2 linked regions of the Ovis aries genome follow. The protein of the gene in region 2 interacts with the protein of the main gene of each other region in a pairwise test. Links are inferred from orthologs where the notes say so. Each region holds a gene or a part of one and is shown on either strand. Other genes may lie near its edges.

Evidence for each region. The genes of interacting proteins can lie anywhere in the genome.
Region 1: the proteins of FKBP8 (region 2) and ZFYVE27 interact in binary tests that used the Homo sapiens proteins (3 or more experiments, as listed by UniProt). The link is inferred for Ovis aries from reciprocal best matches to the Homo sapiens genes FKBP8 and ZFYVE27.

Annotation. Positions count from the first base shown.
Region 1 is NC_056075.1:18,723,423-18,729,193, reverse strand, and holds part of ZFYVE27 (protrudin), read right to left. Parts: intron 4,404-5,771; coding exon 4,333-4,403; intron 2,612-4,332; coding exon 2,425-2,611; intron 1-2,424. UniProt on the Homo sapiens protein: Key regulator of RAB11-dependent vesicular trafficking during neurite extension through polarized membrane transport. Promotes axonal elongation and contributes to the establishment of neuronal cell polarity.
Region 2 is NC_056058.1:4,446,012-4,452,418, forward strand, and holds the start of FKBP8 (peptidyl-prolyl cis-trans isomerase FKBP8), read left to right. Parts: upstream 1-2,640; 5' UTR 2,641-2,666; intron 2,667-2,692; exon of another isoform or gene 2,693-2,881; intron 2,882-4,159; 5' UTR 4,160-4,184; coding exon 4,185-4,473; intron 4,474-6,407. UniProt on the Homo sapiens protein: Constitutively inactive PPiase, which becomes active when bound to calmodulin and calcium. Seems to act as a chaperone for BCL2, targets it to the mitochondria and modulates its phosphorylation state.

The sequences.
Region 1 (5,771 bases), on a different chromosome or scaffold from region 2:
GCAGGATGTACAGCAATGTGTCTCCACCTAGGGCTTCAGGTAGACTGACCTGGACAGTTTTTTTAAATGGATCCCCCACCCCCATCAAAAGCAAAGAGAGCACACCTGTGCAACAAGCACCCAGACCTTGGTTTCTGAAGGGCTCCTTGGAAAAATCGCTGATTCTAGAGCAAGGCAGGGAATGCGGAAGATGAATTTGAACATTCTACTGTATCATAGGGCTTCCCTCATAGCTCAGTTGGTAAAGAATCTGCCTGCAACACAGGAAACCCAGGTTCGATCCCTGGTTCGGGAAGATCCCCTGTAGAAGGAAATGGCAACCCACTCCAGTACTCTTACCTGGAGAATCTCATGGACAGAGAAGCCTGGCAGGCTACAGTTCATAGGGTCGCAAGAGTTGGACATGACTTAGCAACTAAACCACCACCACCACCACCATATCATAAAATTAAAAAAGTGAAAGTTGCTGTCATGTCCGACTCTTTTCAACCCCATAGACTATACAGTCCATGGCATTCTCCTGGCTAGAATACTGTAATGGGTAGCCTTTCCCTTCTCCAGGCTATCTTCCTAACCCAGGGATTGAACCCAGGTCTCCCTCATTGCGGTAGATTCTTTACTAGCTGAGCCACAAGGGAAGCCCAGGAATACTGGAGTGGGCCTTCGCCAACAGATCTTCTTGACCCAGGAATCGAACCAGGGTCTCCTGCATTGCAGGTGGATTCTTTATCAATTGAGTTATCAGGAAAGCCCAAACTGAGGACAAAATAAGATCAAAATTAATAATCATAGTAATGGATTATAACCCACTGAATAAAATTTTAAAATCCTGCATTCATATAGATAATAAGAAGGAAAAGCTCTTTCTTACAGAATGTCAGGCAATGATGACACTTAGGAAATCACCTATGCAACTATCACAGTAATAAACTGACGAAAGCAAGACCCAACAGTGGATTTCAGTGTAGCGGGTGAATGTTTGATGAGGAACAAGATACTTAACGAAGTCTCAAAGCAACCCCACTCAGATTACTAACTCTAGAGGGTAAAATAAATAGTCACTTTACAGTGGAGAAACTTTCACCAAGGTAATCGAAGTTACTATCTCCCATAACAGACAGTGACATCATGTACCTCTTGATATGATACAATGACGTCAAGTTTCTGCCAAAGATGCAAAAGCTGAATCCAATCATGAAGAACCAAATTACCGAAAGAAAAGGGAAGTTCTACAAAATAATAAACTTGTCCTATTTTAAAATGTTAAGGTCATAAGAAAGACTAAGGAACTGTTCCAGGTCACAGGAGACTAAATGTCACGTAAGAGTCTGGACTGGAGCCCAGATCAGGAGAAATTTATATAAAAGACCTTATTAGTACAACTGACAAAATTTGATCATGAACAATTATTAGATAATGGCACTAATGCTAATGTTATCAATGTTAAATTCCCAAAATCTGATGACAGGACTGTGAATATAGAAGAGAATGTCCTTGTTCTTAGAAAATATATACTGAAGTGTTTGGGGTAAATAGACAGGATGTCTGTAATTTACTTTCAAATGGTTCAAGAAGAAAAAAATTATGTCCTAGTGTAGGGAGATGGATGAAGCCGCTGTGGCAAAACGGTAATAACTGTTCTGTTTGGGTGAAGGGCAGATGAGAGTTCTTTGCACCATTCCTAGAACTCTTCCATAAGTTTAAAATCATTTCTAAGGAAAAAGGTTTTTTGAAAAACTGCAGATATGCAGCACCCCTGCCCCCGCAGACACTTGACTCAGAATTTTTTCAGAGGAGCCTAGCCCTCCACTTGTTTATAATTTTTTTTTTTGAGCTCCACAGATGTCTCTGCTGCCCAGGAAGAGATGAGAACCCCTGCTGTGTGTCACGAGAGCCACTGAAGCTGCTGCAGTTGTTGCTTGCCAACAGTCTGAAGGTGCTTCCTCAGGAGCTCCAGCTCTGCCACATTTAGGAAGTTCCTCCACAGTGGAGCGACAATGACTAATACTTAACTGAACACTTGCTGGGCACCAGACGCCCAGTTAGTCTTCACAACCACCTAGGAGGTAGGCCTATACTTCTCCCATTCAACAGATGACAAACCTGAGTAACTTGCCCAGAGTCACACTGGAGGAGCTGGGATCTGAACCCCGGCAGTGGCTCATGCGAGCATGTGCTCAGCCAAGACCCTAAACTGCGGAATCAGCTAGATCTGGCCTCCCATCCCAGCCTGGTCAATTGTCTTTTTCCTCCTTCATCAGTGGAGGTCAATCATAGGAGCCATCGCCCAGAACTCTAACAAAGACCAAAGGGAATACCATCCACGTTTTGCCTTACACGATGTCTGGTGCCCAGCAAGCACCCAGTGTGGTGGCAGCTGGTACCGTCACCATCCCTTACCCCCCTGGCCCCTTCCATACTCACAAGCTCTTCACCTCAGCCACGGCCTCAGGGCGAGACAGGCGAACTCTCTGCAGGTCCTCCTGCCTCACGCTGTGGTACTTCCTCCTCACCAGCTCAGACTCGGGCAGCCGTGCCCGGCAAACCTCCTGAAGGTAGCCCAGCAGGGCGGGCACTGAGATCATCAGGGCACCCACTGAGTACCAGGCCCCTGTGGGAGCAACAACACTGCAGCTCAGCGGGCAGCGGGGCCAGGAGCCGCCACCCACCCAGATGGCGCTCCTCGCCGCCGCCAGGCCTCTGCCCAAAAGAGCCCGCCCCAGACCACCTGGTATGAAACAGCATCTCCCCACTCACCCTCCAGCCTCGTTTTCCTCACAGAACCCACCACCACGAGGCAGACTACAGGCATGGCTGCTGGCCTCTCCGTGAAGGTAGGCCCCGAGGGCTAGGACTTTCCCCTAGCCCCTGGTCACTGCCGCAGCCCCAGCCCTTTCGAAAATATTGAAACCCCTCTAATAGCACACAGCACACCGCAGGCAGCTCGCGCCCGGGGCCTGGCCATGGGGAGCTCCCGACGTCTGACATTCTGACCTTTGGGTCACAGGGGCTGACTGGAAGCCTTCCGCTGGCATTTAGGACACCACTGACCACTCTGAATCGAGAAATGGTGAGGCTAAAATAAAATCCAAGGAAGGAACTTCTTCCGTGTTAACATGGAAGCAAGCTACCCGAGCACTGGGTACAAAGTAATGAAGCATCTGTCACCTGAACTAATTTACTGTGGAAACAGATTCAGAAAAATCTAACAGCTTGAGAAGGATATCTGAGTTTCAGTGAGGCGGAACAGCATCCTACTAAGACACAGAAGATGGGGTCTTATGTGAAATGGGTTTATTTTTCAACTCACTGAAACCACAGGCAGCAAAGGAGACACTTGAGAAATGGGAATTCAATAGAACAAAGGTATGAAGATAGGACCCAGCTCCTCAGAACATTCTATCCCAGGCCCTTCACTCATTTCCCTTGACAGGCTTGGCTTTTTCTGCAGCCATCTGCCAGTTCTGACCAAAAGGGCTGGGTCACAGCATGCCTTTTCATAAAAGGTCCCCAGGAGACCTCACTACCCAGGACCCCTCCAGCTACCCACCTGTCCACACACCGACCTCAAAGGCTGCACGCTACAAACCCCTCACTGCTGCTGACTGCCTGGCAGACCCCACCAGGCTCACTTGCTGAGCCAGAGAAAGTCAACAGGCAAAAATGCCTCATCAGTTCACCTTCCTAGTACCTTCACCCCAGGTCGTGTCCTCAGAAAGCAAACTGGGAAAAGTTCAATGAATTTAGTCCAGAGGAAACAATAATAATAGCTATGATGTACTGGCTGCTTATTTTAACTGTGTTAAGTGTTACACATAGATTATCTCGTACTTCACAACTATTCTCTGAGGAAAGCACTTCTATTATCCCCCTTCAGAGAAAATGAAATTTAGCCACTCAGTCATGTCCAACTCTTTGTGACCCCATGGACTGTAGCCTGCCAGGCTCCTCTGTTCACGAAATTCATCAGGCAAGAATAATACTGGAGTGGGCTGCCATTTCCTTCTCCAGGGAATCTTCCCAACCCAGGGACTGAACCCAGGTCTCCTGCATTGCAGGCAGACTCTTTACTATTTGAGCCACAGGGAAGCCCCATTCAGAGATGAGTATGATTAGGCCTTAAGAGACAGGCTAAAGAACTTCTGATGTCACACCAGTGGCCCAGTCGGGATCCTAGCCCCAGGTGGATCTCTCAGGAGCCTGTGTCCTGACATTGAGCAGACACGGAGGGAGGCTGACCCCACAGCGGGACAGGCGGCTCCCTCATACAGGGCCGATTCTCAGAATTCCTCTCCACCTTCATTCACAAAAAGCCCTGGAAGCAGTTCTTACCCTCGTTCAAGGTGAGGAACAAGATGTTGAGGCCCAGGCAGGTCAGCAAGGAACACAATGGCGTCTCCCACCTGCAACACAAGGCTGTATATTGTCACCCTGTTTATCTAACTTATGTGCAGAGCATATCACGCAAAATGCCAGGCTGGATGAAGCACAAGCTGGAATCAAGATTGCTGGGAGAAGTATCAATAACCTCAGATACGCAGATGACGCTACCCTTATGGCAAAAAGTGGAGAAGAACTAAAGAGCCTCTTGAAGAAAGTGAAAGAAGAGAATGAAAAAGCTGGCTTTAAAACTCAACATTCAAAAAACTAAGATCAAGGCATCCGGTCCCATCACTTCATGGCAAATAGATGGGGAAACAATGAAAACAGTGACAGACTTTATTTTCTTGGGCTCCAAACAGCTAAGTTGCAGATGGTGACTGCAGTCATGAAATTAAAAGACACTTGCTCCTTGGAAGAAGAGCTATGACCAACCTAGACAGCATATTAAAAAGCAGAGACATTACTTTGCTGACAAAGGATGGTCTACTCAAACCTATGGTTTTTTCCAATAGTCACATATGGATGTGAGAGTTGGACCATAAAGAAGGCTGAGCGCTGAAGAATTGATGCTTCTGAACCATGGTGCTGGAGAAGACTCTTGAGAGTTCCTTGGACTGCAAGAAGATCAAATCAGTCCATCCTAAAGGAAATCAGTCCTGAATATTCATTGGAAGGACTGATGCTGAAGCTCCAATCCTTTGATCACCTAATGCAAAGAACTGACTCCTTAGAAAAGACCCTGATGCTGGGAAAGACTGAAGGCAGGAGGAGAAGGGGATGATAGAAAATGAGATGGTTGGATGGCATCACCAACTCTATGGACATGAGCAAGCTCTGGGAGTTGGCGATGGACAGGGAAGCCTGACATGCTGCAGTCCATGGGGTTGCAAAGAGTCGGACACGACTGAGCGACTGAACTGAACTGAGCCTGCGATACAGAGCATCCTGGTCACTGAAGGCAGCTGGCCCTCCAGCCAGGTCTCCCAAACCAGGAGCAAGAGCAGGCCCCTGAGCTCAGAGGTAACTCAGACAGTCAGCAAGAAATGAGAAGTGGGCCTCTCACTTGGACAGGCGACCGGGAGAGAGACCTGAGGTCACACCCCAGGCCCCAGGGTGAGAAAAGGCAGCCTCTGGAAACCACAGGAGGAGAAAGAATTTATAAAATTATCTCCTAATGTTATAACTTCATTTAACCTGTGTTGTGTAAGGTTTTATTCTCTTTAAGAGGTGTCAATGACATTCTTCTTTAAAGGTTTCCTTTATTCTTTGTATTTACTGAGACAGAGTTGGTATGCCATATATATATTTTTTAATTTTAAAGGAACATATACCTACTGCACAAGACTGATCTATCATGAAAATTGAGTGAACAAATGTGAAGGATTTCT
Region 2 (6,407 bases):
AGGCTGGGGACAGGAAAACTTTCAGTTTTATTTCCTGCACAGCACTCACCAAATTAGATATTTATCTACATTATTGTTTGTGCAATATCCAGCTGCCTGGCTGGAAGAGAAGTTCAGTGGGTAAAAAAGCCCTGGCCCATCTTATCCTTCATTAATCCGTGCCTCAGTTTCCCTCTCTGTAAAAATGAGGATAATAAAGAGTCTTACCAAAACATTCACATCCAATCCTAAAGAAGACAAGAGGGAGAAAAATTAGGTGGCAAAAAACACATAAAAAGGCAGATTTAAGTCTAAATATGTCTATAATTACATTAAATGTAAACAGACCAAATGCCCTAGTTAAAAGGCAAAGATGGGGAGACCAAATTAAAGAGCAAAACCCAGTTCTTTGCTGCTTACAAGAGGCACATGAATAACACAAGGATACATAAAGGTGGAAGGTAAAAGGTGGATGAGAATGGAGCGTTTAAAATACGCACCAGTGGAGAAGAGGTGTGCGATTTTTATATCAAAGTCCACTCTAAGGCAAGAAGCATAAAGAGGGGCATGTCATAATAATAAAAGGCTCAGTTCACCGGGAGAATACGACAACTGCAGCTCTATACACAGCCAATGACGTGGCTTCCGAACATCAGAGTATTTGGCTCACAAGGCTGATGTGAGGATTGAAGCGAAAGTGAAGTCGCCCAGTCTTGTCCGACTCTTTGCGACCCCATGGACTGTAGCCTGCCAGACTCTTCCGTCCATGGGATTTTCCAGGCAAGAATGCTGGAGTGGGTTGCCATTTCCTGAGGATTAAGTACACATAAAGTGTTTGCCTACATCTGTGACACCTGTCAGTCACTGTTATATTACCATAATTGTTGATGTTATTACTTTATATTTGTTCACTTTAATTGTTTTTGTATTGTTGTTGTTTACTAGAGTTCCTTCTGCCCCTGTAACAGGGGTGGGACAGGTTGGGTAAATGACTCCATTATGCAGATGAAACAGATTCAGAGATGAGCAGAGATTAGTCCAAGTCCCTCAGAACCAAGACTGGCCCAAGGTTTATTTGATATTCATTCCCAGGCAATTTCACATAATCCTACTATCTTACCACCTCTTCCGGCTGGCCAGCCTTCCTTCCTTTCACAATGATTTCCCTGAATACTTCTCCGGTGGTTTTGTGCCAGGCACTATCACTATGTAGGTCTCAGGACTAAAACGATGAGAAACAATATATTCTTCCTCGATTTGGCGGTGGTTTAGTTACTAAGTGGTGTCTGACTCTTGCGACACCATGGACTGTAGCCTGCCAGGCTCCTCTGTCCATGGGATTCTCTAGGCAAGAGTACTGGAGTGGGTTGCCATTTCCTTCTCCAGGGGTTCTTCCTGACCCAGGAATCGAACCTGGGTCTCCTCCCTTGCAGGCAGATTCTTTACTGACTGAGCTATCACTACGTAGGTCTCAGGACTAAAACAATGAGAAACAACATATTCTTCCCAGATTTGGAGGGTCTTCCAGTCTACTGGGAGAGGCAGAAGTCAACAGATGGCACAGACAGAAGTAAATCCCCGATGAAGTATACCAAGACTGCACCCATCAAAACACCTAGTCTTGCCTTGGGGAGGTCAGGGAGAGCTTCCAATAGGAGGTGACCTCAGAGCTCCTATCTGACAAATTATCTCCAAAAGCGATTTACCTCCCACAATGTTAGCTACCTCCAAAAGCCAGCGTTTCATTTATTCATTAATTCAGTTACTCATCCATCTATTTAACTCCCATAGACCCTAAGCATCATTCAAGGAGGTGGTAAGGATAAAACAGGCAAAATTCTTTCCAGAATGGAGCAGAGTTAGAGGAAGCCAAAGAATTAGCAAGATCATTTTGGAAGAGGGTAACTGCAAGGAAGAAAAAAAAACAGAGTGAAGGAGGAGTAAGTGCCCCCCCCTTTCAAAACACGAGCCATAAAACCCCTTCTAATCAAAGCTGCCACCTTCTCCTTGGGGCCATGGGCACCTTATCATACTCCAGCAGGGGAAGAAGGGAGGCGGGATTCCTCCCAGTGGCCCTGCTCTTTCAGCAGTTAACCTAGCCATTATTGAGTTCCTCCAGTTTGCACCAGGCAACCTTCCCGGGATTAGACTAGACCACGTTGCGCCGGGGGTGGGGAGGTGGGGGTGGGGTACCAAGGTTCCGTGTGCCCTTGGGCACGTCGCTTTCCTCGGAGCCTGTGATCTACAGAAGTAACTAGGGATTCATGGTGGGTTATCCAGCAGTCTCAGAACTGCCCTGACGCGCAAACCTGAGTTCCTTAAGAAAGTACCATTTAATGCTGTCCTCCCAACATCCCTCAAGGTGAGAGTGCGTCGATAGAGGTGTTTATCCCCATTTCGCAGATGAGCCGAATGTCAGACAAGCGGTTAGTCTGACCAGGCTGCGGGGTGCTGACCTGTGAACTGACTAGGATCTACAGCACCCCCACCCTGACCCCGGCTCCCGCCTCCGCCCTCGCCCCCGCCCCCGCCCCCGCCCCCGCCCCCGGTCGGGGGGGTGGCGCGGCGGCCTCTGCCCCTTTAAGAACGCCCCGCTGATACAAGCAGGAAGGGGGCGGTGCCTGTACCGGAGACGGATGTGCGCGCACACCAATGGACGCTGTAGTCACTGCGGCGGCGTCCAATGGGTGCGGTGAGGGCGGGGCTGGGCGCCAGAGCCTGGTTCCCGAGGCGCGGCGGCCGCGGCTGGGGGCGGGGAGGGGGGCGCAGGACCCCAGGCTGGGGTCCCGGAGCCGGAGGCACGTGTCCCGGGGCGCCAGCGGGGCCGCGTCGGCCCGAAGCACTGCCCGGGCCTGGGCTAGTCCGGGGCCCGGCGCGGCAGGGGCTGCGACTGCTAGGCGGGGTGAAGGGCCGCGGGGGAGGCGAGCTGGGGGGCGCGGGGGGGGGTCGGAGTGCCCGAGGGGGTGCTACATGGTGGGGGCGACCAGGAGTGGGGGCCACGGAGGGTCAAGAGCAGCGGGTGGGGGCGCTGCCGGCTGAGTCGTGCAGGGCCAGGGGTGCCCGAGGGTTGCGGGGGGTCGGGAGCCCCAGACTGGTGGCGTCAAATAGGCGTGGGGCGTTGAGGACTTGGGTGGGAGGTTGAAGGAGGGCCAGGCCGGGGCAGGGGGCGTCTGGAGAGCCTAGGGTGTTATGGGATTGGGAAGGGGGCGTCTGGGGAGATCAAAGTGTTCAGGGGCGACAGACCAGCTGCGGGGGAAGCTGGCCCGGGCTGGGGGCGGTGGTTGGGGTTGGGGGAGGGCTATTTATGCGAGCGCAGGGGATTGTGGGGGTTGGGGCTGGGAGGGTCTCAGAAAATGGGACCCGAGCCCGGAAGGGGCAGGCAGGTGAGAGTTAGGGAGGAGATGCTGTGGGCTATAATGACGGCTTTACCACCTCCAGAGCTCGGGGCCTAGGGGAGGGAGTCAGTTCTTGATGGTCCAGGGAAGAAGCCGTGGGGGTCTCGACCATTTCTGTAAGGGGGAGGCTACTTCGAAGGTGGTCAGAAGGCCTGAGGAGAGAAGGGGCTCCTAGGGAATGGTTTGGGACACGGTCCCTGGGGTTGGGGGGTGGTATTAGGTTCAGGAAGGTATTGCGAAGGAATGCCTTGGGGTTTCTGGGAGGCTCCCCTTAGGAGATGGGACAACTGAAGGTGGGGAGCCCTGGTAAAGATTCACTTTATTTTTCTCTTGGGCTCTAAAAATAGCCTCCCCAAGATCTCAGGGGTTGTCCCCCAGGAAAAAATCCCAGCACCCACTCTGGACAGATTAAGCCCCAGGTTCCAAATCCTGCATCCTGTGGTTGCCTTGCTCTGTGACCTTGGGGAAATGGCTTTGCCACTCTGGGCCTCAATTTCCTTTTCTACAAGGGGATGTTCTCTACTTCCCAGGGTGTTTATAAAGATTAAATAATAATTAACTCTAATAATAGCTACTGCTGTTTGAACCTGATGCCAGGGTTTGGTGAATGGGTTGTTAAGTCCTTGGAACAAACCAGGATTGTTTCTCTACCCACTGTACAGATGAGGAAACTAAGGCCTGGAGCTCCTGAGTCACACAGCAAGTGATGGGCACTGTGGGGAATGGAGGCAGAGGAGATGTGAGGGGTGTGATGGGATTCTTACCCCATCCATTCCCCCCACCAGGGCCAGTTCCCATCCCCCCAGCAGCATGGCATCCTGTGCTGAGCCCTCTGCTGCAGACCCTGAGCCCACTGCTCCGCCGCCTGCTGGGGTCCCCCCACTTGAGGACTTCGAGGTGCTGGATGGGGTGGAAGACGCTGAGGGCGAGGAGGAGGAAGAAGAGGAGGACCTGAGTGAGCTGCCACCACTTGAGGATGTGGGGCAGCCCCCACTGGAGGAGGCCGAGCAGCCCGGGGCCCTTGCCAGAGAGTTCCTGGCTGCCATGGAGCCTGAGCCTGAGCCCGCCCCGGCCCCCGACGAGTGGCTGGACATCCTGGGTAAGGAGCAGGGGTGGCTCGGGTTGACCCATGGCGCCCAGACAGCTCAGGTTTGGGAGTGACCTTGGCCTAGGCCTTCTCCTCCTGAGCCTCGTTTCCCCATCTCTGTCGTGAAGGAGATTGGAAGTAAAACGTGGTAACCACGGTGATCACTAGCCACAGGCAATTGCTTGAGACACTTCATGTTTATGAGCCCTTTTCTTGTCTCTCTCTCTCTGTCACACACACACACACACACACACACACACACACACGTATGACTTGCTTTCTCAGAGCTGCTAAAAGGACTCAGAGACGCTGAATCACCTGCTCAGAGCCACACAGCTCTCAACCCCCATTCCTTTTCTTGGCATTTGTCTGACCCGTGCCCCCCAAAACTGTGTTCTAAGGTCAAGTAGATCTGTGGAACATCCCAATCATAGTCTTCATTAGTGTGCTCAGTGTTGAGAAAAGTCCTGGAAGAGAGAAACTAGGAGAACCCATATGCGCTGCAGCCTCCACTAAACACTCTATCACAGCAACTCTGGAAAATAAACACAGTACTACTAGTTCTGATACCTAGAACACTCAGTAACGCCAATGTCCACACAAATGATAGCACATCGCTAGTAAGTAGTATCAAATGATACAGACACTGGTAAAACCAAGTTGGTACTGATTTCACCTCCACTACAGACACAGACTTTACTATGCCTAAAAAAAAACAAACACCAGGTGATGTTTACTAAGCAGTGGTTCCGTGCCAGGCCTGTGCATCCTCTGATTTTATCCTCACAGCAACCTTGTGCTGTAATTCCTACCATATCCCTGTTTGACAGTTAGGGAAACAGGCTCAGAGAGGTGAAGGCACTTGTCCAAGGTTGCACAGGCCCCTTGGCTCTGTTAAAGTTTGGGAAGTTCTCTACTGACAGGAAGGACTGCCCTGCTCCCTCTGTGAGCATGAGGATGGCTCTGTTTGTTTATATTCGAGCCAACCACTCTCTGAGGCCAGAATTCAGGCTTCTAGACAAAGAAACTGAGGCCTTGAGAGAAGCTGTGATTTACCCAGAGTTTCCCCAGGCAAGAGACAACTCCTGGTTGAGATCCTACCAACATATCCCCTGTTAGTGTCCAGAAGCCTCAAGACACAGGATCCCTTGGCATCCACTAGATAAGTGATTCTGAAACTGGATGCAGGAGCAGATATAAGTTGGGGAGCCCTGCAGAAATTTGGAACACTCTAGAATATTCCACAATATGAGTAGATCTCCCTGCCCATCATCTTTAGACTAGGGTCTGCTCCGACTCATGGCAGTGTTTTCCAGACCTGGGGACTTACAGAATACAGGTACTTCTTGTACACTGGGTGGCTGCAGGTGTCTTGTGCCCCGTAGGTATAAGCCCTCTATTCACCCCAGTAGTTGTAATGGGATGACTGTGGGTGTCTTCACTGTGGGGCTCCTTGAGTGGGTTTGTGAGGGCCTGGGGCCTTGTGCCTGGTCCTCAGGAGGTGTTGGCTGTGGCCATCTGGCCACCCCTAAAATTGTTTGGGGTATGGGGAAGAACGTAATGGTCTCCTTGGTGGCTGGAGGGGGGAGCTAGGGGTTACTTTTGCTTTTAGGTCTTTCCGTGTGATGTGGTGCTTTAGTCGGGACACACTCCTGGCATCACAGGTACTCTACTGACCAAGCAAGCTACTCTCTGGGGGTCACCAGGAGAAGCCCCAGCCACCCCGTTTCGTGGCGGGGTAAACTGAGACCCAGATGTCTCAGGGCTGAGATTGGAACCAAAGGAGAGGGGACAGGGCAGCGCTCTTGAGTCTCTTTTCTGGGCATCCCGGCGCCTTGACTGTGATGGGCAGGAGGGCTTTTCTCAGCCCTTTGCCTTCACTGAGCCGAGATGTTTTTCTTCTTCTCCTCTTCTTTTGGCCACTTGTGGGATCTCAGTTCCCTGAT